4 linked regions of the Rhinolophus ferrumequinum genome follow. The main gene of each other region encodes a partner of the protein of the gene in region 2 in a complex. Links are inferred from orthologs where the notes say so. Each region holds a gene or a part of one and is shown on either strand. Other genes may lie near its edges.

The links.
Region 1: LSM7 (region 2) and USP39 share a complex: the UniProt entries of both Homo sapiens proteins name them as parts of the U4/U6-U5 tri-snRNP complex. The link is inferred for Rhinolophus ferrumequinum from reciprocal best matches to the Homo sapiens genes LSM7 and USP39.
Region 3: LSM7 (region 2) and SNRNP40 share a complex: the UniProt entries of both Homo sapiens proteins name them as parts of the U4/U6-U5 tri-snRNP complex. The link is inferred for Rhinolophus ferrumequinum from reciprocal best matches to the Homo sapiens genes LSM7 and SNRNP40.
Region 4: LSM7 (region 2) and LSM6 share a complex: the UniProt entries of both Homo sapiens proteins name them as parts of the precatalytic spliceosome. The link is inferred for Rhinolophus ferrumequinum from reciprocal best matches to the Homo sapiens genes LSM7 and LSM6.

What each region holds. Positions count from the first base shown.
Region 1 is NC_046296.1:8,725,444-8,732,547, forward strand, and holds the start of USP39 (U4/U6.U5 tri-snRNP-associated protein 2), read right to left. Parts: upstream 3,102-7,104; 5' UTR 3,008-3,101; coding exon 2,740-3,007; intron 504-2,739; coding exon 434-503; intron 1-433. Other genes in the region: C13H2orf68 (UPF0561 protein C2orf68 homolog), read left to right, coding at 4,634-4,740, 4,822-4,940, 5,722-5,873, 6,231-6,353.
Region 2 is NC_046301.1:60,955,504-60,963,222, forward strand, and holds the start of LSM7 (U6 snRNA-associated Sm-like protein LSm7), read left to right. Parts: upstream 1-4,610; 5' UTR 4,611-4,718; coding exon 4,719-4,724; intron 4,725-4,816; coding exon 4,817-4,907; intron 4,908-6,182; coding exon 6,183-6,254; intron 6,255-7,694; coding exon 7,695-7,719. Other genes in the region: SPPL2B (signal peptide peptidase-like 2B), read right to left, coding at 602-721, 4,498-4,557. UniProt on the Homo sapiens protein: Plays a role in pre-mRNA splicing as component of the U4/U6-U5 tri-snRNP complex that is involved in spliceosome assembly, and as component of the precatalytic spliceosome (spliceosome B complex).
Region 3 is NC_046292.1:21,444,028-21,451,987, reverse strand, and holds the start of SNRNP40 (U5 small nuclear ribonucleoprotein 40 kDa protein), read left to right. Parts: upstream 1-4,729; 5' UTR 4,730-4,778; coding exon 4,779-4,922; intron 4,923-7,129; coding exon 7,130-7,259; intron 7,260-7,960. UniProt on the Homo sapiens protein: Required for pre-mRNA splicing as component of the activated spliceosome. Component of the U5 small nuclear ribonucleoprotein (snRNP) complex and the U4/U6-U5 tri-snRNP complex, building blocks of the spliceosome.
Region 4 is NC_046301.1:19,252,993-19,260,149, reverse strand, and holds the start of LSM6 (U6 snRNA-associated Sm-like protein LSm6), read right to left. Parts: upstream 3,035-7,157; 5' UTR 2,807-3,034; intron 2,800-2,806; exon of another isoform or gene 2,545-2,799; intron 1-2,544. UniProt on the Homo sapiens protein: Plays a role in pre-mRNA splicing as component of the U4/U6-U5 tri-snRNP complex that is involved in spliceosome assembly, and as component of the precatalytic spliceosome (spliceosome B complex).

The sequences.
Region 1 (7,104 bases), on a different chromosome or scaffold from region 2:
CCACATTTCAAGTGCTCAACAGCACAAGTGGCTTGTGCCTCAGGGTGTAAACTGAAAAGCATCCTGAGATGCCATAAGGGATCAGAAAAAAGGGTATCAGGATGAGGTAACTAACTGCTTCAGGACATATTTTTGTCTCTTTTTTTCTCTAGTAAATCCCAGGCATCTAGAGTTGAGCCTAGCACATAGTGGGTGCTCAATGAATATTTAAAGTTGCTATCATCATTGACACTACGTATCCTGATATTTCATCACACGGATTCAAAATGAGCTACAAGCTCTTTATGCATGTGCCCACCCTAAAACAGCATGCCCTCTGACACTTTAAATTGAAGAGCAAAGATTAACAGTAAGATTAACAGGAACTTCCCAAGAGCTTCCTGCCTAGATTCCGCTGTTCTGCTGCTGCCCTCGGCATCCCTGTCCTACTGACCTGTTAATGGTATCCAGGTATGGGCAGTGGCGGCTCCTCCGGTCCTGGGAATCCACCCGGCCATTCTTTGCTGCAAGGAAAGTCATCACAGGTTGTGAAAATGGGAAACCCGTACTCAGGGGCAACTACGAGTACAAAGAAACAGGCAAAACTAATCAAGGGGAGCTCCTATACAGGTAGCCTGGCAACACCCAAAAAAAACCCACTAATGGAACAAGCCACAGAGAGAATATATTAGAAACACATATAACCCCAACAAATTATTTGTTTGCAAATTACATGGAGAAATGTACTGAAGCAATTAAAAAAAAAGCCAGACAACACAATAAAATGAGGAACACAGCCCACAAACATATTACAAGATGCTCAACCTCATCAATAATCAAGAAAATGCAAATCTTGCACAATGATGTGTGTCACACCTATCAGGGGGGAAAAATGCAATCAGAAAATTCCAAATGCTGGCGAATATGTGGAGCAATGAGAATGCTTGCGCACTGCTGGTGGGAGCGAGAACTGTTACAGCCTCTTGGAAAATAATACAGCAAGATCAAACCTGAAAATATGCAGACCCTTTGACCTGGCAATCTCTCTATCTATATACCCTAGAGAAATTTTTCCACACATGCACCAGGAGTACTTTACTAAAAAATATTTACAGCATCAATACTTGAAAGAGCCCCAAGTGGAAACAACCCAAATGTCCCCCACAAATAAAATGGAAAAATATATTTTGGTGTATCATTAATGGAACACTATGTAGCCATCTATCTGGATGTACCTCAAAAATATGGCCAGCAAAAACAAAAAAAAAGGTAAATCAGAAAACTACACAGTATGATTCCACTTATACCAAATACAAAATGAAATTATAAACAACAAAAACAGAAGTGATTAGAAAAAAATTCAGGATAGTGATTACCTAAGCAAGGAAGGAAAGCATATATCCAACTAAGGAGGAGCCTATGGGAACTTCCAAGGTTATGTACCACTTCTTAAGCTGACAGTGTTAGGAAACAATTCTCCAGGGGTCTCTCGTGTTTCTGCACATACTGTGAACAGAGGCACTAACTCCATCCAGAGGATCTTATCAAGGATGTTTATATAGTGAACAACCTTGGAAGACAGAAATAGTTATCTCCCTACAGAGCAAAGGGGAGGCAAGCTCACAGCCTATTATAAAAGACTCGGGCTCTGGAAGCTCAGAATTCCTCTACTGTAGGGCCACCCACTGGGCCAAATGGGTTCCCTTCATATTGCATTGTGGGAACTGACTTGGGGAACTGACACCAATGCCACACTCTGGCTACTGTTAATGCTGTAACAATAAACCGTCTCAGGCCCAATAGTCCCATGTCTTCCTTCAGCATGAAAGGAAAGCAGCCTAACTTGGTAGCTTGCAAATAGGATGAAATCTCAGACCCTTCACAATTCTTCACACGCAGATTTAAGAATGTACATCCACACACTTCTTTACACTGTACTTCTGCATTACATTCAGTACATCTTGGTACCTGTGATCTAGTCCATGATAAAAATAAAATGAAAACTAAAAAGACAAGTCAGTAACAACTGGGATCCAAGTGTGTCCCAGAGAAAACAATCTCCATACCACAACTATGCAAAATATCTAAGAAACAATTTCTCTTCTAAAGAAAGGGAAATCTGAGGCTGACAGAGTATTTAAGCAAAGGAAATTAGAGAATACCTTGAAATTACTAACTAGATTATGCAAAGAATATTTGTCAAGCATTTATGAGCAAGGGACTACTCTGGATCCTGTGTGTGATGCAAAATGTCAAATACAGGACGCTGAGCTAAAAAAATGTAAGAGTTAATATGAGTATATTCATATACAGATACACAGTCCTGGAAACTGAGGAACGGGATTCAAACTGAGAGGCAGGATTACAAGCCTGATCTGGCTGCTAAGGTCTGGCTAACAGGGCAGTAGGGTGCAGGCGACCAGGGTTCAGGCTCTCAAATCTGAATAGTCTTTTAATTCCAGAAATTACAGCAAGACTCAATCCTCAGGTGTTTTATAAAAACTGAAGGACATAACACCTGTAAAATAATAAGCACAATGCCTGGCCCGCGTTAGGCACTCGATAAAGGAAAGCTGCTGTTGTCGTTAGAAATCTTGTAACTATAGTTATTATTAAGACTAGTAGCATCTTCATTAAGACGCCAATCGAGTCGGGTCTCGGACACTGGTAAAGTGTGGATTTCCAGACCCACCCCGGGAAGGTTGGAAAGAAAACAGAGAACGCGTGAGTAGAGCCCGCGCCCAGCCCGGCCCCGCGCACCTCGCACCTCCCGCTCAGGCTCGGAGTCTTCGTCCGCCTCGCGCTCCCGCTTCACCCGCACAGCCGGGATGACGGGCGCCGGGGCCTCGCGCGTGCTAGGCGGGTCGACCTCCCGCTTCACGCGCACCGGACTGCCCCGGGAGCTCGGCACCTCGGTCTCCCGCTCCCGATCTCGCTCCCGCTTGACGCGACTCGAGTTGACCCGTGACTCGGACTCGCGTTTCACACGGGTGGAACCACGAGAGTCCCTCTTGGACCGGCCAGACATCGCCACTACCGGCCCAGTCGCCCAGCGCAGGAGCTAGGCACGTTCGAAGGCGCCGCAAACAGCCAATCGAGAGCGCCGCTGTTACCGAGCCCAAGGCTCTCTACGAGTCGCCGAAGGGGACAAATTATACCGGAGGAAACTGGGAAGTACCGGTACTGCCTCTGTTGTGGCCTCTTTGCGGCTGCGTGCGCACCTGAGACCGATCTGCGGGCCTACTGCCACCTTACCCGAAATTTCCAGCTTAAAGAGGCAGGAACTTTTTATTGGCTGCATAATATCTGGATCAAGGAAGCTGTCATTGAAGATACCCCAGGTATCTTCAATATACTTTGTGCCCCGAAACCAGCATGGGGCGGGGGCATCATCTCCACAGTCTCCGGGCTTCGGAGACCGACGCCCCTTGCACAGGAGAACTAGGCGACATCCCCAAATCATCTCCTTCCTGCAACAACCCGGAGTCTATATAATTCCACACTTAGAGGGTTGTTCATATTGTCACAGGCAAATGGAAACGTTGAACAAAGGGGACTTACAGTGACGCTAATAAAGCTAAGGCTTCAGGGCCTGTGACTCGCGACCCCCTTCCAGGACCCGAGACTGCTTTCTTTGTAAAGTTCTACTGAGGTGTTTTGACATACGATAAACCGCACGTTAAAGTGTGGGATCTGCTCCATCCTGCCGGGATGGATGTATGTACACTCGGAAACCATCGCCACGATCAACGTAAGGAGCCTCCCCGCCAGCCCCAAACGTGTCTGCTTTGTCACTACAGGTTAGTGTGCGTGTTCTAGACTTGCACGTACAGGAAGCACCCGGGTGTCCTTTTTGGCGCGTTTATTTTGAGATTCATCCGCGTCGTAGCAACAGCGCGTTCCTTGAGATCGCTCAGCTGTATGCCACTGTGTGGGTGCACCACAGTTTGTGCCTGTTCCAATGACAAATTCCTAATGTTTGTCCCTGTTCTAATGACAAATTCCTAATTCTGTCTATTCTTTTAAGGAGGACTGGAAGGGGGCGCCCGCTCAGACCCCTGAAAAGCCCTGAGTCCTCCCGCGGGAGCAGTTAAGACAGCTGGCCGGTGGGCGCCGAGCTGGGCGGTCGGCTGGCCGGCTGCAGAGCCCCGGCGCTGGGGCCCTGCCAGAGCACTCGCCTCACCACCTTTCTTGAGGTAGGTGCCCTCCGAGTCCCCATTTACAGATGAGGAAACTGAGGCCCCGCGGGGTCCGGTAGTCAGCCGAAATCGTGCAGCGACTCAAGTTTCACAACACCCTACCCCCAGAGAAAGGACGGGAAGGCTCCACACCGGACCTTCAGTGGTGTCATGGGTGCTGAATTGTTTGACGTTATCAGCTGTAAACCTAAAATGTTGTTTCTTCTCCATGTCACAAAGAAAAGTCCCGCCCAGGGCGTGGAAGTCGCGCACGCCCCACCTACCCCCGCGTCAGCGCCTGGAACTCAGCGCGCGGCGCCGCTCGGCCCCACGGCCCTTTCCCGACGGAAGGTCGGGGTGCGAGGCCGGAAGGCGAGCGAGAGGCGGTGCCGACCTCTCCCGGCGGGAGGGTGACTAGTGCAGCCGTTGCGGCGGCGGCGGCGGCGGCGGCGGCGGCTCCGCGCCCAGGGCTCCCGATGGCAGCGACGCCGGATCCCGGGCCGGGGCTCTGCTGCAAGCCTGGCGGGCGGCTGGACATGAGCCACGGCTTCGTGCACCACATCCGACGGAACCAGCTGGCCCGGTACCGCCCCGCCCCCGCCGTTCCCCCACCCCCAGCCCAGCGCAGCCGGGCTGTCCCTGATTCCCGCTCGGCTCTCCGCAGGGATGACTACGACAAGAAGGTGAAGCAGGCAGCCAAGGAGAAGGTGAGGAGGCGACACACGCCCGCTCCGACGAGGCCCCGCAAGCCCGACCTGCCAGTGTACCTGCCGCGACACCGAGGTGAGGCCGCCCGTCCAGCCTGCCTCCCAGCGTGCGCTGGCCACTGGCCCTCGGCCTCAATGCACTCCCTTTCTCTAAATGGGAAAAAACAAAAACCTTCTTATTCTCCAGGGTTCATTCAGTTCATCCCGTTCCTTCCTGGAACCTGCACCTCGACGCTCCCCAGTCTCCGCTCAGTGATTGTTTTTCCTGGAGGACAGGAAAGGAAGGGCTCATGGCCCCCAATTAAACGTCACTGTTACAGGACATACCTGGGAACCGGCAAGACAAACCCAGTAACAGGCCTTTTTCCCAGCTTCCCTGGACGTAGCGATTGCAGTAGTTAACGTACGACGCTAGACTTCGTGAGCATGACTTAAAGTGCTTTGAAGTTTTCTGTACGTTGTCATGTTTTCATAGGACTGCATAAGTTAGGAACTGTTCATCGTTTCTGTTTCACAGTCAGGAAAATAGGCACAGAGAGGTTAAGTAACTTCCCCAAAATCTCAGAGCTCGTAAATGGCAGAGCCTGGACTTGAACCCAGACAGAGCTCTGTTCGCCTTTCAACTGCCTACCAACCCTATTCATTAGACAGATGTGCATTGTGTGCCTACTGTGTGACAGGATTGTGCTGGCCCTAGAGCAGGGATACAAAGGTGAAACTGAGTGGTGGCACATTTCACACACATACATATATACACAAACACACACAGGGTTCATAAAAAGATGGGGGCTTTTATCTGTGGTCAGGAACTCCAGCAGCCTTCCTCTCCTCCTTCTCACTCTGGTTCATCCTTCCAGATGGCTCTACCCACCCAAGCAACCCAGACTGTGAAGAGTCCGGTGACGGCAGCAGTAGTGGTGGCTCGGAGCCAGAGCCTTCTGGCCATCAGCTCTTCTGCTTAGAATATGAGGCAGACAGCGGAGAAATCACATCAGTTATCGTGTATCAGGTACGCCTGGTGGAAACAACTACAGCCTGAAGGTCCTGGGACATGGGAGAAATCACTCCCAGACCCTGAGTCACTGTTTTCATCAGGGCCAAAGGGAAGTGTCTGCTCCACATGGAAGCACAGACTGCTGGGCAGTGCTTTTGAGCACAACTCCTGTCACACGGTGATTCTCAGTGAGCATCAGGGAGGGCTCGTGGCCCTCAGTTGAGAATCACTATTACAGGGGATACCTGGGAAATGACAGGCACTGGCAAGAAGTTGTAAGTCAGAATTCTTTGAGAGTGTTGTCTAGGGACAGGGCAGGTTGCCTTTCCAGAGAGGCCAGGCCCTGAGCTTCCTGACTCTTCCTCCACATAGGACGATGACCCAGGAAGGGTGAGTGAGGAGGTGTCAGCACACACGCCTCTGGATCCATCCATGCGAGAGGCCCTCGAGTTGCGCATCCAGGAGGAGATTGCAAAGCGCCAGAGCCGACACTGACCAGGCTGAAAGCATTGCCAGCAGGCGAGACTCACTGCCCAGGGAGCTCACCCCTAGTTTGGGGGTGCCAGGACCAGTCTGTGCTGATCTTGAGACACACACACACTCATACCCCACAGCTGCTGCACCCACGGGAAAAGAGTGTTGCAGGATCATGCCTGGCCACGTCCCTTGTAGCCACTCTTTCTTGGGTATTGGCCCATTTGACCAGCCTCGTATTTTGGAATTTTTGAGAATTTTATTTGGCTAGCTTGGTGTTCTCCAAGCAGAGACTCCAGGGAGAGCTGAGGTTTATGAAGCCTGTGCCAACATGCTTTCTCACTGAGTTCATGTGCCCTGCCACACCTGGCTCCTGCTGCTCCACCCAGCTCTTTGAGCTATGTTTGTTATTTTATGGTTCTTTGCTACTGTGCTTCTGCTCACTTCCATACATCTTTTCCTCCATATTTTTTTCAGCTGTTTCTTTGTTCTTTTCTTTCCTTCACCCGTTTGTATCAGAGTTCATCAGTTCCATCCACCCCCAACCTCCCAATGTGACTGCACCTCCAGCTGCTCAGAACTTTGGAGGTGTGGGGTTTGGGGGGGGATCTACCTTTCTGACAAGCTCTCCCAGTAATTCTGATACCAATAAAGTGGGAGATCTTCATTTTGGGGTCTGACTTGCAAGCATGTCTCCCTCCCCTTCCGTGGATTTTGCAAGTTTCTGTCAGCCCCACTGATTTGCACTGTCTAGATAAGGAAACCTACGTAG
Region 2 (7,719 bases):
ACGTGGCAGGTGGGTGGGGCCTGCAGACACCACATGCACACGCCCGAGCCAAGGACAGAGGGACAGGGTGGCATGTGCTTGAGCCAACCCTTCAGGAATCCTCCCTGCGTCTCCAGCTCTGCCTCCCGCGTCCACGGGGGACACGAGGGGCTGGCAGCAGCCTCAGTGGTGAGAACCCACCTCGCTAGAGCACTCGGGCCTCTGGGTGGAGGAGCACTGCTCCCACGAGGAAGGGGCAGGTGCTCACCCATGCCCTCTGCTGTCACTCCTCCCAGGCCGCCTCTGCCAGCCAGCCCCAGGCCAGCACAGGGAAGCCTGGCCAGTGCCTCCAGCAGGGCCTGTCTATTGACAGTTCATGACCAAGGAAACTGAGGCTCGGAAAGGTTGCAGGGCCCCTCCGGTAATGCCCCAGATTCCAGAGGCCCCACAGCCTCTTGAGTGTGGCCCAATCCTACCTTGGTCTCCCAGCTGAGGTCCTCCTACCCCCCCAGCTGGCTTTCTGCAGATGAGTCTCCTAGAGGGCCTCTCTGGACACCGGGGAGGGAAGGGGGACAGCCACAAGACAGACGAAAGCCCGAGCCCGAGGGCCGGCAGTACTCACCGCCTTGCCGAGGTCGTGTGGCAGGTGTGCCCACTGTGGGTTGTAAAGGATGCAGTAGTCCTTGCCTTTGGGGCCCCCCGTCTCAGAGACCACACGCACCATGCCGTACTCACAGGTCACCTGGAGCAATGGGGCAGGGAGGGGTCAGACCAAACAAGGACAGCCATGGGGGTCGGGCTGGTTTCCTCCCTCCAACAGGACACATGGGGCACAATCGTACGTATCTCAGGGGGGAGAAAACGAGGGAGGGTTGCAAGCTCAGGGACAAGTGTCCCCAGGGAAAGCTGGTGTGACCACGGCCCTGCACCCTCCTGGCCCGACACGCGCTCTGCACGCTTCGTGCTCCTGGGGCACATCCTTTTGCAGCCTTGCTGTCCTTGGGCTACATATGCCTCCAGACAGAGCCAGAGAGCCTGCCACGGAGACAAACAGGTAGCAGCTGCTGCCAACAATGGGCACATGATGGGGATGGATGCCAGTCGGTACCTCAGGACCCATACCCATAGCACGGATGCTGCTTTGCCAAGGTGGGGGCGTCCACCTTGATGGGCCGTGGGCCCTGACACCAAGCCTGGGGTACGGACTGGCTCTCAGACAGCCAAGCCCTCCGGGAGCTTCTCATCCTGGCCTGGTTACCTAGTGGTGGTGAAGGCGCCCTGACCTCACAGCCCGGAGGCTGACACCAGGCGCCGGTGCAAGTCCCGGCCCCACAGTCCCCGACTGCCAATGCTCCAGCTAGCCCAAGTCATCTCGGGCACTTCCTTTTGTCACCTTGAGTGAGGTGCCAACTGCCAAAGCAGTGCTCACAGGTACCAAGCTCCAAAGAAGCTGGGTGTGTAGGGCCACTGCCACGAGCACTCACAGGAGAGGAGGGTGGGGCGGGGGCTGCCTGAAGCTGACGGAGGCGGTGTCAGAGAACTTCACTAAGGCAGTATCCTGCGCCCACCTGCCTCTGCTCCCACAGAACCTCCACACACTTCTCATGACTCCTCGGTCCCTTAATAGGGGGGCAGAATTAGGAGGTCCCTCTTCCAGGTTCTCCCCACCAGAATGCCCCCAAGTACCGTGCTCAGTGTATGCCCCTTCCGATGGGACACCCCATGATCAGAGCCACCTCCTGACTCTGGGTCACTGCGGGGAGTGTACGGTCCCTCAATCCTCAGGCCTCATCCGGCCCACCTTCTGTGTTTGCAAATAAAGTTTTATTGGAACATGGCTGCCCTGTGCCTGTATGCAGGGCTTCCGGCTGCTCTCGGCTACCATTGCAGAGTTGGACAGTTGCCCGCAGAGCCGAAAATATTCAGTCTGGGCCTTTCCGAAAATGTTTGCTGAGCCCTGATCCATGAGAGCTGGGTAGTTGGCAAAAACTGTCCTTTGTGTAAAATGGGAATGGGTAGAAACTAGTTCTTTATAAAAAGGACATTTAGGAATACACAAGCACACCTACAAACTTTCCTCCCCACGACTCGCACAACTAAACCTGTGCTGTGTCCAACGCTAGGGAGGGCATGGTTTCGCTTTGAATGTGGTTTCCTTGCCTGCTGTGTTAAAGGAACCAGAAGTTCGTCAAAAAGACCCAATGCTGCACGTGCCCGTGTCCCAGCACGGCCCATCCCCACCTGGAGAACCAGGACCAGCCACGTTCCGACACGTCACAACACCGGGCAGGTCCAGGAACTTCCAGGGGACCTGTGCTTTAGGGTGAGTATGACAGCATCCACCTCTGGGGATCTGAGGGAGGCTAGAGCCCAGGCTGGGGCAGTCTCCCTTCTCATAGGACGTGGTGAGTTCTGGGAGGCGGTGGAGAAACGAGGACCCAGGTGGGAAGCAGAAGTTCTGGTGGAGCAGTAGGGGGCCTGGGCCAGGTGGTGGTGGGGTTAGTGGAGGAGGGCAGGGTGGCACTGACATTAGTTAAGATCTGCTGCTAAGCCTCTTGTTCAGGCCTTTGTTTACACATCTCATAGCAACTGGGGGATGTGGGCCTATTGGGGAAGGTGAAAGCCATCGCCCAGATCTCAAAATGGTAGCGAGTGAGTTTAGGGCCCAGTGGGGAGCGAGTCTATTCGCAGGTACCAGGAAGAACCAGAGCACCCGAGGGGCACCGTCCGGTGTCAGGGTGTGTTTACATCCAGGGGTCTGTTCTAGGAAGAGCAGGCCCCACTGTGCTCCTCACTCTCTCCCAAGACTACATGCTAAGGATAAGCCTCAGCCTGCCTGGGATAAAGTGCAAAGGCCCCAGAACCATGAGCCGTCCACCACTCCCTGCCCAGCCCAGGGAGGCCACATACCCAGCCTGCCCCTTTACCCTCTGTCCTTATCATTTACTCCCGTGGCCCTCGAGCTGAGGGGGAACCCCAGCCTGCCCTTCCAGTGCACTCCCAGGGCCTCCTTTAGAGTGACATCTATCTCAGGACCTAGGCATCAGACCAGCCTCCACACCAGCCACAGTGGACCCCTCACCGTCCCCAAATAAGTCATCCGCTCTCACACCTCCGCCAGCTCGCGCTGCTCCGACCACCGGCAGTGCCCTCCCTCAGCCTGCACCACCTAGCAAACTCCGACTCCTACCTCAGAACAGCCCTGGGGCACCACTGCTTCTGAGAAGCCTTCCCACTCGCTCTGAGGTGTTCCCGTGCCTCTTCATCCCCTCTCTCTGCTCTCATTCAAAACGTGTGGAGAGCTCCAACTCCTGGCCCTCAGATTGCTCAGGCCAGTGAGGAAGATGATTAAACAGGCTCGGGGGAAGTACAGGGGCATCCCGGACAGCTTGGGGGGAGACAACAGCTAAGCTGACACCAGGATGACCCCGGCATTCCAGGGAAACAGAGAAAAAACAAAACAAAACAAAGCAGCTTGCCTCCAATAGAGGACAGCTGGAAAGGGAGGGGCACTTCCTGGTCAGAGGGATCAGAGGCCTCCCAAATGCACCAGGACGCCACCTGAAAGCTGTCATCTGGACAAGACCTGAGACACTTTGAAAGAGATCACTACTGTTGTGTTGAGAATGGACTGGGATGTGGCGGACAAAAGCGGCCACAGGGAGAACGCTAGCCGCCCGCTGGGAGCTACAGCGGAGAGCTGGTGGTGGGCTGGAGTGGGCAGGTCAAGGTTAATGGCTGTGTTTCCACAGCTGTTACGGGCACCATTCCCTGAGCTGCTGAATCCAGGGAGAGGAAGGATTTGGAAATAAAAGATGAGCTTATGACAATGTACATCAGCCATCTCATGGTCAGTCCCCCACCAGCACCAAAGACCCTTAACGTTAAATGACAAAAAAGTAGCATGTTGCGCCTGCATCACCCCATGCACTATCTCGCTGAGTCCGCGCTGTACTCTTATCTCCTTTTGCGGAGGAGCAACTGACGACCAAAGCGGGGGAACTCCTTTGCCCAAGGTCATGGAGTAAAAGTGAGAAGGAAATTCGACCCCCCCTCCAGGGCTGGGCTCCTGGCCGCTCCCCGACAGTGCCAGGCACTGGGTGCCGCGCTGGACAGCTTACCAGAACCCCCGGGGTGGGCGCTGGCATCGTGCTTAAGGGATAACTGAGGCGCAGCCACCAGGTCAAGGCTACGGAGCCAGACGGGAATCTCCGCAGCGGTTAGGACGCCGAGACCAGCAGGGCCCGGGGGACGAAGAGGGGCCCCCAACTTCAGACCCGCATGGAAATGAGTGACGCAGCGGCTGGGAAGGGCTTCCGAGGCGGGGAACGAAGCCGGGCAAGAGACAGGCCCGCAAGGTCACGGCGGGGCTCCGGGCCCGCGGACCGTCCGCGCGGGGGGCTCGGGTCCCAGAGGCTGCCCCCAGGCTGGGCCCAGCGGGGGTCGTGCGCGCGGCCGAGGACCGAGGGGCCGGGTCACCGCATCTGGCGGGGCCAGCGGGGCCGGCGAAGCCCTCACCTGGGCCGCGAAGAGGAGGATGGCCGCCGAGAGCCAAGCCACGGGTGCCGCCGCCGCCATGTCTGCTGGTCCCCGCCGCAGGCGTCGCCAGATGTTTCCCAGCAACGCCCCAGCGCGGTGCGCCGCGCCGCGCAAGCGCCGTACACATTCTGCGCGTGCGTGAGTGGCGGGGTCAAAGGGCACGACGCCGGCGCCTGCGCAGAGTGGCGCGACACAGCAGAATGGCGGTGAGCGCGAGGCTGTGCTTGCGGGGCCGAAGGGGCGGGCTGCGCCAGGGCTGGCGGCGCTGTTCGCCTCACACGCTCTGCTTCTCCTGCAGGACAAAGAGAAGAAGAAGAAGGAGAGTATCTTAGATCTGTCCAAGTACATCGACAAAACGATCCGGGTGAAGTTTCAGGGAGGCCGCGAAGGTGAGGCCCCCCCCACTCCGCACCCTCCGAACGGTTAACGAAAAGTAACACGCGGCGATAGTGACAGCTGATGCCCGGGCCCAGCTTAGGCGCTTGGCCCAGATGACTCGCGCAAGTCTCCTAGCGACGCCGGGAGTTCGGAGGTGGTATACCCCTTCTGCGGCTGGGAAAACTGAGACATGGAAAGGGGACCAAACTTAATCCAACCCACAGTGGGTCGTCCGAGGTTGAGACTTTGCCTCCTGTGCGGTTCTGTCGCTGCAGCTCCTCACTGGTCTCCCTACACCAGGGTTCCTCAGGCTCCGCACTGTTAACGTTGGGGTCCGAATGTTCTAGGTCGTGGGGTCGGTCCTGGGCACCGTGGGGTGTTGAGCAGCATTCCTGGCTTCACCCAGTGTCCCTTGGGGGGCAGACTCGCCCCCGTTGAGACGACAGAGCCCTACAGTGAGACAGACTCCCGGTGTGGACTAGAGGAACCTGTTAAAAACAAATCAAATCTTGTTTGCTGTTCAGCTTTCTGGGGCTCCCCATTGTCCCAGGGTAAGGACAAACCTTTTGTACCTCAGAGTAACAAGTGGAGCTTTCGTCGGCCACCGGGCTGTAAAGGTACTATTTTCTCTCTGCCTGGAGTACTCTTACGAGGTTAACTTGTTACCTGGTTAACTGCCAGAGTCGTTTTCCTGCTCTCAGCTCGAGGCCCTTGCTCTGGGAAGCCTTTCGTGACCCTCCAGCCGGGGCTAATCCCCTTCGTCATAACCTTCTGGTAGCACCTGTCACAGTTTGCAGCTTTATGTGTTAACATGGTGCTTAACTGGAATCTAGTGAAGAGAGGGCAATACAGCGTCTGGTCCCCACCTTTCAGGGAAAATGGGCAAGCAGAGTGCTGACATAGTGGGGTACCTGCCTCCACTAGGTGAGACCAGGGCAAAGGGAGGCCTGGAAGAGGAGGGGTGGGAGGTGGAGCGTTACAAGTAGAAGCACAGGTGGGTGTGAAGGTCTGAGGCCAGAGAGAATGGTTGGGAGAGGCATCAGGGTGGAAGGGTGGGTGGCCTGTCCGGGGCACGCAGACCACACCCCCTCTCAGGTGCCAAGATACATCACTTGGTCAAGGAGCCATAACCTAGGATGCCTATTTGTTGTTTTAATTGAGGTAAAATTCACAGAACATAAAATTCGCTATTTTAATGTATGCAGTTTAGTGGCAGTTGGTACCTGCCTCCCGAATGACTCTTGATCTTACGCCTTTCTGTTTCGTTTTTTGGTCATTCCCACAAGCCAGTGGAATCCTGAAAGGGTTTGACCCGCTCCTCAACCTTGTGCTGGATGGCACCATCGAATACATGAGAGGTGAGCGCAGCCAGGGGGCTCAGAGGCCTCCTTGCCGGGCCTGTGTTACTGTCCCAGACCCACTCACCTGCCGTCTTAGTGATGAGCACGGTCCTTGTAGAGCAGGCCGGTACCGGGTGTGTTTCATCTCCCACCCACCCAGCATTCCAGGCAAGCTCAATAGGCTGTTGTCTGGGGACTCAAAGGATGTGGAGGCGTTTTGTGATCCACCATCACTGGTCCTGAGGCCCGTGCTGGGCACTAAGAGCGTACCCGGCATGGTTAGAAAGATGTCAGCCAGTCTCCTGCTGTCACCATGTGTTCACCCCGGTTCCTGTCCCTCCAAGTCCCCAGACCCTTCGCAGCAGCCCACGGCAGTCAGTCTGGCTCATCCTGAGCCAGGCATTAAGGGGATGCCAAGGCCTAGGAAGGAGGGAGGGAGGGAGGGCGGTGTCCCTCAGGGGACCGTCAGTGTCTTGACACACACGTTACTCTGGTGAAAAATTAATGGAGCCACACATGAGTGTCACGGGGCCAGAGGGGAGAGGCCCTCTTTGAGGGAGAAGCATGGTTTCCGCTTAGCCAATCCCGGGGAGCTTCTCTCTGCCCTCATCTTTTCTCTTCCTGCCTGGGTCTGCCTCCTTGGGTGGATACATTTCTTCGTCTGTAGGACAGCTTCACTGCATGGGGCCCGTGGGGAAACCAAGTCAGCTTGAGTGTGCAAAGCACTTAGGGCCATTTGGCCCTAAGAGGTGTGGCTGCTGCTCCTTCCTCAGAGTGTCTCCTACCAGGCGGCAGACTCACTTGTTGAGTGAGTCTGCGTCCCCAGCGGAGGCCTGACACACCGCACAGTTCCCGGGAGGGGAGGCTCAGGCCCAGACAGCCGTTGTCCCTGCAGGATCTGAGGGTAGAAGACTGCCTTTCAAATCTGCCTGGTTTCAGCGGGCCACCTGATTCTCCCCTCCCCAACATCTTGCAGTAACAGTGATGAGGACTTGTAGTCGCTGTCACCTCCGAAGAGCTCCCCTCGAACTTGCTGTTACTTCCATGGGGTCCCTCTCACCCTGCCATTAACTCCCCATTGACACGGGTGAACGGGCCCCACGGGGCTTCTGCCATTGTGCAGAAACCCAGAGCCCCAGACCAATTTGTATTCCAGCTGCCCTCTGTTGGCTCGGTGCCAGTGCCCCTGTTAGCTCCACCCCATAGCCCACGGTCCCCCGGGTCTCTGTGTTCTCACTTGCAGAACCAGGGCAGGCTTCTCCCCTGAAGGCTGATGCAGGGAGAAAGGCTGCATGTCTGGTTTGGGAGGTATTTGGCCTGCCGCCCGGCCAGCATGTCCCCACCGAGGTCCTGGAGGGAGGGGGGAGGGAATGATCGGGGTATCGTTCGATTTGGGTCTTCAGACCCCATCCCACCCCAGGCTCGGTGTCAGGTCCTCACTCCCGCCCTCTTCCGCAGACCCCGACGACCAGTATAAGCTCAC
Region 3 (7,960 bases), on a different chromosome or scaffold from region 2:
AGAATAATGATGACAGAACCTGCATTCTCAACCACTATTCTACACCGCCTCAAAAAGAATTCGCAGTCTAGATCTAAGCTTTGCAGAGCACAGCTGTAACACTAACTAGGCCCTAACATTAGAGATTCCACTGAGAAGGAATCAAAAGGACATCATTCATGGATGAGGCTGCAATGAGCCGGGTTCATTCATTCAAACATGTATCCAAGGACCATTTCTTAGTGGGTTTTGTGTTCCCAGTGCCTGGTATACAGTAGGTACCAAAAGTTGTCTTGAACGAGTGAACAGAGCCTTACTATTTGCCAAACCAAGGCAGAGAAAGAAGACAGAAAGCATTCTGGTCTACAGAATGAAGGAGGAGGAACTGAGCTCCACACAATACGCTGGATAGGTCAGAAGATGGGAGACTTTCAAATGCCGCACTAGTGGCCCACGCTGCCCCCTTTCCACCCAATTTCTGGAGTGACTATCTTAGACAGATGCTACTTCCTTTTTGAACTCCAGTCACGGATCTGTTGAGAAAATGGCCAAATGCAGGAAAGAGGAAAAATAGTAAAAATCAAAGAAAAACACAAAAAATAAAAATGGACTCGTAAAATATGAAAGCTAAAGGAATTATTGAGATCATTTGGCCCATTATTCCTATTTAACTGAAAGTGAACTACCAGGGAGCAAGTGACTTGATGCAGGCTGCTCACAACTAGCCAGGCTGGTACTAGACCCCAAGACCAGTACTTACTCTTCCACGCCATCCTATTCTTTCAGTCACTAACCCTGAAGGCCCCTTCCAAGTCCTCTAATAATAATGGCCAATATTCGAGTACTTCCCATAGGCCATGTATTAACCTAAGAGCTTTATTTGTCTTAACTAATTCCCGTTTTGACCACCCTATGAGAGAGGCAATTATTATTGCCATTTTACAGATGAAGAAACTAAGACATAAGCAAGGCTAAGTAACTTACTCATAATTACAAAACTATGAATGATGCAGATGAGATTCAAATCCAATTTACAAACATTTTTTTCTTCCCTTTCTAGATTATGAAATCTTCTGAGCATGCCCTTGTCTTGGCAGCATATTCTTCAAATCTCCAGTGCTTAGCAGTGTAAAGCACACAGAAATTCGTAACTGTTTACGGAAATACTGAAGCACTGAATTTTACCCTATTTTACATTGTTAGTTAATTCATCAATTCAGCACATTTACTGACGGTTATATGTCAGGCCCCATGCTAATAAGCACTTCATAAACCTACTTTCAATCCTAAAAACAACTCCACAAAGTAGGGTGTCCCTGAATTACAGGGATGAAGTAACTTGTCCAAAACTCACAGCTAGAAAGAGACAAATTTTAGGCCATTCCAAGGGCTATATACACTTGCCTATAAACCATCCTTTTCAACACAATCCCTGTACTCAGACTTCCTAATCTGGTAGGAATAATGGTGACCAATTACAACACGGTATGATCAGTGCTAAAATAGTGGCTAAGTTCCAAATACTAAGAAAACAAGAAAGAGAAGAAGGGCCTGGGGTGAAGCCGGGACGTTTACAAGGTGACAACTGAGCAGTCCTTGAAGAATAAGTGGGAGTCCTCTTAGCAGAGACTATTGTTATTTGACCTCATTAGAACCCTCATCTAGTGTCGTCTGTTTTCTTCCAATCTATCAGCCCTCTCCTTTTTCTTCACTTTCCTCCCTATCCAGCTTAGATTCCACACTCCATCATTCAAACAATACTGTGACATTCCTTTAACTGTCTTTACAGTTTGCCTATATGGCAAAACACTTACGCTGGTGGAGTAGAATTGCAAACATCAGAATCCATTTTAGCTAGGTTAAGGAGAAAGGGATTTACAGCCAGGTATTATGTGGCTTACAAAATTACTGGAAGGGCCACAGGGGCAGGCGCTGGTAGAACTTCCAGAAACAACTCCTAATCCCCCAAATAACAGTCTTTGCCACAATCAAGAAAGTCATGGCTATCATTGCAGAATGTCACTAAACCGGAAAGCTGTTGACTAGAGAAACTCACTGTCTCTGCTATATTTGCCAGCAAAACTGGATGCCACTCTCCTCTCCATATTTAACTAGTTTTCACATTCAATTCTCATTTTAGGTGCAAAGGAGTCCAGATCATTTCTAGTGTCCCAGACTTTTCAGCAAGAGAAGGCACATTAGAGATGGGCATGTGTGTTAAGCAAACCAAATCCACAGTCCCTGCCATACTTGGATGTTTTTTTCCATGCCTGCATGAAATAGCCTGATAGTGCTGTTAAAAAATTATGATCTCTAACTTAAAATGGGTCCTTAATGCTGAAAGACAATCCCTGATTTCTCTGGTAAATGCATTCTCTCACATTCTACAATGATTTCCAAATCTGCAGTCTTCTCAAATGCCTGACCTCATCCCACTCGAAGTATGTAATTCCCTCTTCCTTTACTGAGAAAATAAAAGCTATGAGAAAAGAACTCATTTTACCAATACCAAACATACAAATAACCTGTATCTATTGCCTACATTTCCTTGTTTCTTTCTGTTACATGGAGAAACTATTTCTCTTCCTAAGGCTACTCCCGTTAACTGTCCTTGGGATCCCATCCATTCCTATGTTCTCAGAACACGACCCGTGAACCAATTTCTCTCTTGCATATTCAGTTTCTCCATCACTCTCTCAATTCAATCCTTGGTGACCCCTCATCTTCTTCCGCTTCCGTATCCTCTCCTCTCCTTTATAATCATATGTATGAAAAATACTCTCTAGATTCACAGATTCACTGCCTCCACGTCCTTGCCTACATCTTTGCCTCATATCTGGCTTCTGGCCCCATCACACCAACAAAATAACTCTTCCTAAGGATACCATGAGCTCCATGATGATAGAGCCAACATATTTTTTTCAATTCTCATGTTATTTCAATTTCAGGAGTTTCTGACACAGACCACTTCTTTGCTTCGGAGACAGCATCCATCTCTGATCCTCCTCCTTAGCTCTTTCTTCTCTCTCTCTCGTAGGTTCATGCTCCTGTTCTTGGCCATGAAATGTTAGAACTACTCAAGGTTCTAGCTTGGGTGATCTTACCCACACCTGTGGCTCAATTATCACCTATAGGCAAATTACTCCCAAATTTGTATTTCCAACAAAAGTCTCTCTTCTGAGTTCCAAAGCCGTATTTCAAACTGCCTCCAGGATGTGGTGAACAAACTCTCCCTTCCCCTGCCAAAACAATAACAACAAACAAAACTATCCAGTTGAAGAAGCCAGAAACCTAGAAGTTACATTTGAGTCCTCTTTCACTCCGAGTCAATCCGTCACCAAGTTCTACTGATTTTACTTCTTATATACCTCTAGAAACTGTCCAATGCTTTGCAGTTCCAATACGTCACTCCTCATTGCCAACAACTCTCACCTAAGTGGTCTGTCTGCATCTCTCTCTCTTCCATCTGTTCACACTACTGAGCCTGAGGGATCAAGGCCCCTCCCCCATCACACCACCCACTGTCCATCAAAAACAGAAAAACCCGCAGTGGTTTCCCATCAGTTTTATAGCAAAAGCTACAAAGTCCTGAAAGACCTGACCGCTACCTGTCTCCAGCGTCATCTTGTACCATACTCCCCTTCATTCTCTTTGGATCGGTCACACTGGCCTCTATGCTTTTTAGTCATTTTCTTTCCATTTGTCGCAGGGCCTCTGCCCATGCTGTTCTATAGGGAATATTCTGCCTTCCTCTCTTCACCTCATTAATTAGAAGTCTTCCTTAGGTATCAATTCAGGCATCTTTTCCTCAGAGAAGCCTCCCTGATTATTTCAGGCACTCATAACATCATCCGATCCAGTGTGCACCTCTCCTAGGTCGCACTTAATTTGTACATTTCTTGGTGAGATTGTTGTTTAACATGTTTTCCCCATTGGCCTCAAACCCCTGAGGTCAGGGGCCATGTCTGGTTCCCAATGTATTCTCAACGCTTTGCACAATAATTATCAGTTGGGCGATTAAGAAGGGTATGAGTCGAAATTTCTCAACAAGACCGGGCTCTGGAGAGGCAGGAGTCAGACATCTCCTTCATCTGTCTCTCGCAGGGGCACAGAGCAGACCCTAGCAAAACGCTGCAGAATCAGTGGCAGAAACCAGGCAGCCTCCTCAGTCAGACAGGACCCTAGGGGAGGCTGGGTACAGGCCTCTTCTCCCTGGGAGCGCCTGGCACAGGGCTGGACGGAGTAGGCGCTTGATGAAGTCAGCCGTCGAGGGCCTCAGGCAACCGCAGAGACCCCACAGCTCGGCTCCAGTCTAGAAAGGGAACCCAGGGGCTACAAACCGGATAGGATCTCTGAGCCTGCCTCTCCCCCTAGCAATCAAACCTTCATTTGAGAAATGCCAGGTTCCGACCACACAACCCAGGCACCGCCTCCAGATGCCGCAGCTACCCACCTCACATACCCCTTATACACTTACCCAGCGTCAGCTGCAGGTCTCCCGACCGCAGCATTGCGCGAAACGCCAAAACCCAGTCAGCGCGCTTCCACCCACAAGACACAGCGCGCCCAGGCGGGACTCCAGCTCCATTCGCCAATCCCAGAATCGTAATCCCATGACATCAGAAAGAACTGACCAATAACAAGAGACTATCCAGAGGGCGGTGCAGAGGGGAATATTGGAAGCCAATTGGCTTCTCCAAGCCGGAAGTTCTAAGGGAAAGACTAAGTCCGAACCAATCGTGCGGTGTCTGAGCTTGTCGGCGCGGTCTGCGGCGGGGCTGGGGATAGTGGGTGCCGCCATGATAGAACAACAGAAGCGCAAGGGCCCAGAGTTGCCGCTGGTTCCAGTCAAGCGGCAGCGGCATGAGTTGCTGTTGGGAGCAGCGGGGTCGGGCCCCGGAGCGGGTCAGCAGCAGGCGGCGCCCGGAGCTTTGCTGCAAGCGGTGAGTGAAGTAGCAGGCGGCCGTCGGCCCTCAGCTCATCTTCCTCGCTCCTTTCTCCAGCATCGGGATCGGGTGATCCCGCACCTGCCCTCTCCTCCGCACTGCGGGGCGGAACGAGGATTTCTACCTGGAGTTAAAGCAGAAAAACTGTAAAAGCGGCGGACACCCTGTGAATGCTCCATACGTTACACTGTTTTCAGTGTCTCGACCATCCTGTGAGGTGGCGTTAGAATTCAAGTTAAGGATCTTGAGCTCAAAATCGGGACTGGGGTTTTTGCATCCTAAATCTTCCAGAGATTCTGCTTCGAGTAAACAAGCATTCATAAAAGTTTGTAGAGTGGATGGGTGAATGAAATAATGAATGAATGAGTGAAGGAAGGACATGAATGATACTGGCTCGCTTTGGAACTTTGAGCAAGTTGCTTTTCCCTTTATTTCTCTGCACTATTAACAGCCTAAGAACAGTCAACATTCATTGAGACCTTGTACTAAGTACTTTTTTAATGAAAACTCCATTACTCTTGGCCTAAGAGTTAGGAACTGTTATCCCATTTGTAGATGGAAAAACAATGTAGTAAAAGATTTTAAATTATAACCCATGCTCTTTACTACATTTCTTGTGAGATAGACGTAGTGTCACACCTCTCCTGTGCTATTAGACTCAGATAAAGAAATAAGTATCTTCTCTCTCAACGCTTCAAATAGTGGGTCAGCAAATTTCTGCTGGCATCCTCAAAATATATCCAGAATTGCTACCACTTCTACCACCTCCATCACTGACTCCTGATCTAAGCCATTATTATCTCACCTGGCATGACAGCAAATAGGGTCCTAACTTGTATTCTTGTTTTCTGCTCTTGTATGGTCAACCTATTCTCAATCCAGCAGTCAGAGGAATCCTTCTAAATGTCAAACTATGTTACCCTCTGCTGAAAACTTTTGGTGGCTTTCCACTTCACTTAGTGTAAAACCAAAATCTTTAAAATCTTTTGCCCCCTTTGCCTTTTTGATCTACCAATTTTCCATTGCTCACCCTTGCTCCAATCACACTGGCTTCTGTGTTCCTGCCTCAAAACCATTGCATTTGCTGTTCTCTCTACTGGAATGCTCTTCTTCCAGATGTCCGCATGGTTTACACACTTAGCTCCTCCAAATCTTCATTCAAATATCACTTTTTTAGCGAGGGCTTTACTGACTACCCTATTTTAAATTGCAGCATCCCGTACTCACTAACCCAGATTGCTGCCTGTTGTTTTTGTTCATAACATATACCACCACCTATATGTTTTACTTGTTTTCTCTCTCTCTCCCTCCTTCTCTTTCTGCTTCCCTAACTAGAACACAAACTCGATTGTTTCTTTTGATCAATACTGTTTTCCCAGTGTCTAGGATAGTGCCTGGCACATTGTGTTTTTTTAATAAAGAGTAAGCTGGAAACTACTGACAAGTTGGGGGGTTTTGAAATGTAGTTGTTTATCTGACAAGTAAAAATACCAGCCCAGGTGTCAGTGTATTGCCCAAGCTTAGCCTTAGTGTTAACACCATAATCAAAAGGGCTTTCTACAATAAGCTATACGCTGAAGGATGTTGGGAAGCTCAGTTCAATCGTTCATTCACTAAATGAGCTAGAACTTGGGAAAACTGGTGAATGACACAGGCAGGATCCCTGCATTCACAGAGCTTTTCTAGTGGGGGAAAAGAAAATATGTAAACAAATACAGAAGGAGGGTAATTTCAGGTAATGGTAAGCTTTGTGAGTGTTAGTGGAACACAGAGTAGAGGTGGGGTACTGATAGAGTTTGAGTGATCAAGGAAAGACTCTCTGAACAGGAAACATTTGAAAGCCGCCAAATGCAGGAAGCTCTCGGGGAAGAGGATTCCTGTCAAGGGCAACAACGAGTGTAAAGACCCTGAGACAGAAATGAGTTTAACATGAATAAGCAATTGAAACTTGGCTATGGGACAGGAGCAAAGTGAGGGAGGCGGAAAGTTAATGTAACAGGCAGACACTGGACACTTCAGCAGGAAAATATCATATGGGAGGCATAAGTTACGTGAGAAGAGTTATAGTTCTCTAAATCAGGAGAAATCCACTCACTCATTTCCCTTGTCTTCCCTCCACCACCACCACCACCCCCCACTCCCCAATTTTGCGGCCTCCTTTGCCTCGATGCAGTGACTACCCTGTATGTCTCTTTTTTGCTTAGGGGCCTCCAAGATGTTCTTCCCTTCAAGCTCCAATCATGCTTCTCTCAGGACATGAAGGGGAAGTATACTGCTGCAAGTTTCACCCCAATGGATCCACCTTAGCATCTGCAGGATTTGACCGACTGATATGTAAGACATAGTTTTTGAATCTTGAATAATCGCTGTCTGCCAAATAGCGGTTATTTTTTAAAACCTTTGGTGCCACAGAAGGTGTCAGTCTGAGTTGGTCACATAAGCTGGTGGCTAGCACGCTAAAATAGGGTTGTAAAAATGCTGACTGAGTTTGGTTGTAAAACTCAGGGTCTGTGTGGTAAATATAGGAGTTATGTTATTAGTTGGGAAGTGAGTGGCTCTCCTTTGAGAATATCTTCCTCATGGAGGCAAATCTGGAGCTGATTTAGCAAAATAAGAAATCTAGGCTTAACTGGCTAATGGGAGTATTGAGGAGAGAGATAACTTCCTTTCCCCGAAGGTGGGAGGCTGTCTTCTTGATCCACTCAGAATCTTAGCATATGGGAAGGAAGGAGAAAATCCTAAAGTGGCAGTTCAACTTGGATAACCTACCGGTACATCATTAGGATCTGCTGCCAGGTGCTTAGCTACTAGTAAGGAATACCCATTTGTGAGAAATAAGGAGAAAATTCACTTTGGGAGAGTGGTGAGAAAGAAGGTAACAGAAGCATCTGACATTGTCTTTGGCTCGTTGTTTATAACTCTATCTCAGGGTGGATGATAACTGTCTCTTTTAATTTAGGTGTCCTAGTTTAGGTGTTCACTGTCTCTTTTGGTTTAGGTGTTCTAGTTCTGTGATCCTTAAAACTTACTGGTGG
Region 4 (7,157 bases), about 42 Mb from region 2:
TGCGAAGAAATAGAGTGGTCAAACGGAAAGAAATATATCCAATGTGATTTTGAGCTATGTCACTGAGCAGAAGACATGCAAATCATTGTTTCTTGGAAATGCCTACCTGTAAAGTTTCACCTATTCTTAGAGTATTTAAAGTTTAGGGTGAAAAAAAGTTTGAAAAGCAAAAAATTGTTATGAAACATAACATTACAACCCAAGTAAATGCAGCTTTAGCCGAATACATCTGTGTCTGGGAAAGCTCAGACACTGAGGACAGCTCTCTAAACAGAGCCTTCCTTTCCGGCTGACCAGTCTCCCACCCGCGGTTCTAAGCTTCTCGGGGACAGGGAAAATGCCTTACTCTTGTGGTATCCCTGGTACCTAAGCACATGGCCCAAGCCTAAGGAAGAGGCATTTAAGGGCTGTGCCAAGCCCAGCCTGTCCCTCCCCTGCCCAGCTCCGCGGAGTGACGAGGACAGTACAGTCCATGCACTTCAGCAGCTGTAACACAGGCACATCTCTATTACTGAGCACCAAATAAAAGAAGGATGGAGGAAACAAACGTTTCTGTGTTGTCCAAGAACCAGCTGCAGCCCAATCAACAGAGATGTTGCTAAAATGCAGGATCCTGCAGCTTACTCCTAGTCAGACCCTCTAGGGAAGGGGTCCTGGAATTTATATAAAGTTTCCCAAATAATCCCTAGAAGCAAGTAGTTCTTGACCGGGGGGATTTTGCCCCCTACCCTTAGGGACATTTGGAAATGTCTGCAGACATTCTGGATTGTCCTGAATGAGGACGTGGTGCCACTGGGATCTATTAGGTTGGTGCAAAAGTAACTGCAGTTTAAAAGGTTAAAAATAATCGCAAAACCCACAATGACTTTTGCACCAACCTAATAGTAGGTAGCGGTAAGGACACTGCCTACCCTTCCACAAAGCACAGGACAGCCCTCCATAACAAAAAAGTATCTGCCCAAAACGTCAACTGAGGTGGAGAAACTCTGCGATTAGCAAAAAAACCATTGTTCTCTGGTCTTAACGCAACAAGAAGTTTTAAAAAACCTTCAAGGTGTAAGAAATGGGAACAAACATTTAAGTTCTAACCACATGATAGAATATAAATTATAACTTATTAGAAATTTTATTCCAACGTTTAGAGACTCTGAAAACAACTGTCAAAAAATCTTGAAGGGCTTGACATTCTAAATAATGGATTCCCAGTCCTGGCCATGAAGATGGTCACTTTCCCATTTTTCAGTGTCACAGATCCCTGAGATGATTAAAATCTGTTACCTGGTAAAATTCTAAAAGGACAGAATAATCCAAGTGATGTAAACATCTTTTTAAATTCTAATATTGAGTATGCCAGTTTAGTAAGAGATCACCTGACGCCCTTGAGAGGTGGGAAACCTGAGTTCTAATCCCGCTCTGCTACTTAATTTGCTGTGCCTCTCCCATCACTCATCACTTCACCTCTCAAACAAAGCCCCAGGTCCCTCATCTGCAAAATAAGGCAGTTATGCTAGCTGATGACTAAAGTGATCTAACAGCCTATGCAGTAACTTCCCACACACAAACATAACCTCTGAAGATTCCTTCACAAAATTCAAGCAAGCAGAATTGCCAGACAGCACCAAAAAAAAAAAAAAAAAAAAAAAAAAATCCAAAGAGAGGCTCAACTTTCCTGGTTGATGTACTGGAAATGTATCACTACTTTTGGTGAAACAGGAACAATCCTACAAGAATGATGTAAACTACTAAAACTATTTTGGAAAACAATCTGGCAATAGGCATGAAGACCTAAAAAGACCTTACTAGAACACAGCATCTATTCTAACAATTTTACTTCTCACAATCTAGTCCAAGTAAATACTCTGAAATCAGTTTTAAAAAGGAGTTTATCAAAGTACTATCTGAGATGCTAAACTGAAACAAGAATTCACAAATACCCTAAACGCCCCACAGTTGGGAAATGCCTGAGAACTTTATGGGACCTACACAATGACGGAACAATCAAAGGATACAACATTAGAGATGATATTTAAGAAAAAATTTTAAATGAAATTGGAAAACTAAATATAGTGTTAAGTGATAAAATGAGTGCTCTTAGTTCAAGGAGAAATGAGCACAAGCAAGAGTACAATATAGCAAGAAATTGTTGGTGGACGGGTTCAGTGAATGATTTTCTTCACTGAACTTCCGTATTTTCAGCTTTTCTACAACAGTCTCCTATTAATAAGGGGGTACACTAAATCGCGATCAACCTTATCTGCATCACCCTACCCCAGACACCCTGAACAAAAATACCTGCTATGAACGCGCGCGCGCCCCTACACACAAAACCCCGGTGACAGGCTTAACACTACACAGTCGTGGGCATCCCCAACCTGAAACCGCGGTAAGGTGAGCTGGCGCAGCAATTCGTTCCCGGAGGCCGGGCGCCACCACGCAGGGCTGCAGGCCTGGCCCCGTGGCCGGGGTCCGCTTTCCCGCCGAATCCCCAGGAGGACCTCCGGAACTACACCCCCCCCCCCCAGCCCAGCCGGTGCCGTTCCTCACCGCGCGGTCTAAGCGCCCCCCGGGGAGGGGCCTCAGGGCCGGGCTCAGGGACCCCAGACCCCACGACCGGAGACCTCCCAGCCATTCTAGGCGCGCAGGAGAGAACGTGAGCGCGGCATTTGGGGGAACCCGCCACCGGCAGGCTCCGGGATGGGCGCTCCTTCCCGGGGCTGCCGGGCCGGCCCGGAGTTGCTACTCCCCAAAGCGGCCCGGGGTTAGGGAACACTGGGGCCTCCCACGCCCCCCGCGACCGCGAGCTCACCTGCCGGCCGGGATCCGGAACCCCCACTCTGGGAGCCCCACAAGCCCCGCCTCCGCCGACAGCGGGATGAAACCGAAACTGAAACCACCAAGGCAGCCGCACTTTTCTCCTTCAGCGAATCAGTGCTTCCCGGGCTATGGCGGCCCGCGGGACCAAAAAGACCGGGTCTTGCAGGGGCGCGCAAATCCAAGAATCCTGGTTTGCCTAAAGGCAAAGTTGGTGCTGTGGGCTTCAAGTGGAAAGCGCTGGTGTGCTCTCCTTTAACGGAAAGCACTCCATCCCCCCCAAAAAAAACACGTAAAAAGAAAAGGAGGAAGTGATCTTCAGCCAAGACTTCTTTTAGGCAGGCATGTAAGAAATAGCTTGAAGTCATAGGAAACTGGGATTTACTGCTAAAATAATGATTATACATATCCAGAAATGTCCTTGAATAATTTAATGCAAATAAATACATAAAACAAGTGGCCTCAAATCTCTAAATCCACCTCTGGATTTTGATTGTGTGAAGGCGAAGCCATTATTAGCAAGAGATTGTTTCCGTGGCAACGTTAATTGACACAAAAAGAATCAAAATCACTAAAGTAGCTCTACTATAATGGCATAAATTGAGGTACGTTACAAACTAGTTCTAATTGGAAATGGTGGGCAGGCATTATTTAAGTGCTGTTATGGGAACTTGGTTTGGAATTTAGCATGAAGTCTCTATTCTTGTAATTAATGGAAAGGGAGAGGAAAACTCATACTCACTTGATTCCTTTTATCTCTACACACATGCCCTCATCAACTTAAACTTTAATTCTATATAATTTAGAACACTATAAACAGTGATAACAGCTTTAAACAGATTCTTAACCCTAAGCGTTATAGAATCTAAGATGCAGAATTTTTTTTCTAAGACAAAAAAATGCTTTTCCCCTCTTATAAGCCTATCTCTTAGCATGAACCTTTGATTGGTATGGTTCAGAGAACATAGGCATGTTCTACCAAAACATTCTCTGATTTGGTAGAAAAGAGAGACTTTCTTATATCCTCATATAAAAGCTCATTTTGGGTAAAGATAAAGCATCACAGGTTTATTGAAAGACTATATTTGAAGTTTTTGCGGTATAAAGTATAACGTAAACCAAAATATTAAGTAAAGTTTTATTTAAATTAAAATAACTACAAAGAATGAACATAGTAGGATACAAAGCCCTATCCCTAAAAAATGTTCACAAAAGACGTCAAATTGTACCACAGTTCTCCCTGGTTGTTTGAATTGTTCAAAACATTCTTGTTTTAATTCTTCCCTTTTACCACAGAGCCCCGATGGAGCCATTAAAACTGGTATGGTGGTCAGGGGGCAATGAGGAATTTTAAGGGCATGGTTCATCTCTAGAGGTAGCTTCAACCTTTCCAAGGGGCATGGATCTGTAAGGGCCCAACTAGACAATCGAGATGGGTGCCATGAATGACTGCAAAAGCTAACGAATTTATCAAAATGTGGTTGTACCCAGAACCTTCTCAGCAACTTATAATTAGCTTTTCTCAACTCACAAAGCAACTTTCCATATTTCACAAGTTATTTTTTTAGCATCTGTAATTTTACAAAGAAAACATGTGCAAGATTTTTTCTGAATACTAGTCCACCAAGGACTAGTCTTCAAACACGGGAACACAAACAGTAATTTATTAAGGTCATAAAAATAATTTGACAAACTTTAGTTTAGCTTACATAGTTTAATTTAGTTTAACTGTTACAATTGATCGACCTACATTGACACACCATTATCACCCTAAGTCCATAGTTTATATTAGGGTTCATTCTTAGTGTTGTACATTATATGACAAACATATAATGACATGTATCCAACATTACAGTATAATACAGAGTATTTTCACTACCCTAAAAATCCTTTGTGCTCTGCCTATTCATCCCTCCTCTATCCCCACTAATCACTGGCAACCACTCACTATCTTTTTACTTTCTCCATGGTTTTGTCTTTTCCAGAATATCATAAAGTTGGAATCAAGCAGTATCATGTAGCCTTTTCAGATCAACTTCTTTTACTTAGTAATGTGCATTTAGGGTTCCTCTATGTTTTTTCATAGCTTTATAGCTCATTTCTTTTTAGCGCTAGATAATAGTCCATTGCCTAGATGTACCAGAATTTATCCATTCACTAAAGGGCATCTTGGTTGCTTCCAAGTTTTGGCAACTATGAATTAGGCCGCTATAAACATCTGTATGCAGGTTTTTGTGTAGACATAAGTTTTCAAGTCATGGGTTGAGTTTTCAACTCTTTGGGTGAATACCAAAGAGTGCAATTGCTAGGTTGTATAAGGAGAGAATGTTTAGTTTTGTAAGAAACTTCCAAACTGTCTACCAAAGTGGCTGTAGCATTTTGCATTCCCACCAGCAGTGAATCAGAGATCCTGTTGCTCCACATCTGCACAGGGTTTGGTGTTTCCAATGTTTCGGATTTGGGTCATTCTAATAGGTGTGTAGTGGAATCTCACTGCAGTTTTAGTTGGCATTTTCCTGATGACAGACGATGCGGATCATCTTTTCATATGCTTATTTGCTAACTATATGTCTTCTTTGGTCACGTGTCTTTTCTGATCTTTTGGCCATTTTTAAATCGGACTGTTTGTTTTTTATTGTTGACAGTATATTTTGGAGAACAGTCCTTTATCAGCTATGCCTTTTGCAAATATTTTCTCCCAGTCTGTGGCTTATCTTCTCGTTCTCTGAAGCTATTATTGTCAAAATAGGCAAACGCTAGTATAAAAATACTAAGGTTCACGCTCACCATTCTATTATTTGTTCCGCACTTCTATAGTCCTATGCCTTTAGAAAACTGTTTTTCAGTGTTTCATGTTCATAAGAAAAAGTATCATGTCTAGCTTATTTTTTAAAAACATCCAACAAACAGCTTTGTGGACATGTGGGTGGTTGTATTATGCTAACAATGACAGATACAAATGTGGAATTGCATTGGCCAACAGTCTCCAAAGCAGACTTTAATACCTAAATCAGTGTTATCCTTCTAAGAACACTGGCTGGTCTTGTTCCAGCAATGCATTACTGGTATGAACTGCTGGCATGCACTTGGACCTTTCCTGGACCTTCGGACTGGACAACAAAAACATCTCACCTGTCATATTCTAGTTCGGGGTATTCAGACCACTATTATCTATCTTTTATCATGGGATGTAAAAATTATGTGTTGGGGCAGCTGGTTAGCTCAGTTGGTTAGAGCATGATGCTCGTAACCCCTGGGTTGCCAGTTCAGTCCCCTCATGGGCCAGTGTGAGCTGCGCCCTCCCCAACTAGATTGAAACAACTACTTGACTTGAAGCTGATGGGTCCTGGAAAAACACACTTAAAATAAATAAAAGTTTTTAAAAAACCTATGTGTTAAAGAAAAAGAAAAGAAAGACACCACATAGTTGTTAAATACCTCTCTCTCTCTCTCTCTCTCTCTCTCTCTCTCTCTCTCTCTCTCTCTCTCTGTGTGTGTGTGTGTGTAGCCTTTCAAGCATCTCACTGTTATGCAGAGTCTCAATTCCAACTCTCTACCCCACATGGGGCCAATGCCTTGTCTCTTGTATTCATAAGCCTTAAAACTGTCACTTCCGTTTTTCCTCCTATTGACTTGATCATCTTCTGGGTGACTGCGAGTGCTTTAAAACTGGTTTCATCAGTTAGAGCCCAGGCTCTTCACTTCACTGGGCCAACTCCTAATCAGACATTAGGCCTTAACTCAAACATAAATTTCTTAGAGAAAGCCTTTGATAATCCCTCACACTAGATATTCCTCCTCTTGTTCATGATCAGAGAATACTATACTTCTCCTTTGTACCACTTGTAAATGCCACAATTCAATAACTCTCCGTGTGTGTGTGTGTGTGTGTGTGTGTGTGTGTGTATGTTTTCTCCCTCATATGTTCTCTGTGAGTGCAGGGCCAGTGTTTATGTTATTCAACACTGTATTTACTGTAATATCTTCTGAGAAGTAATATAAACTTATTGACTGAAGGACAAATTTCTCAGGAAAGTCGGTGTGCCTTTTATTTTTCATAAGATGGGACATATTCTGCATCACAGGTACTTGGTTCCAGATATAATGTTTGAAATGTTTAAATAAATGCTCCGACTTCATTGGCCAGCATTTTAGTATAACTTGGATTTCAAAAGTGAAGGTCTCAGGGTCTGAGCTCCTCTGAGGAGAGTCTTTCAAATGCTGTGATGCTTTATGCTCCACTGTGAACTCTAGAAAACCTCTCTCAGCTGTAAAATTCAGTGAAATCGGTGTGACGCTGCCCTTGTATTTTAATCAAGATGAACTTGAAAGGTGAACATTGTAAG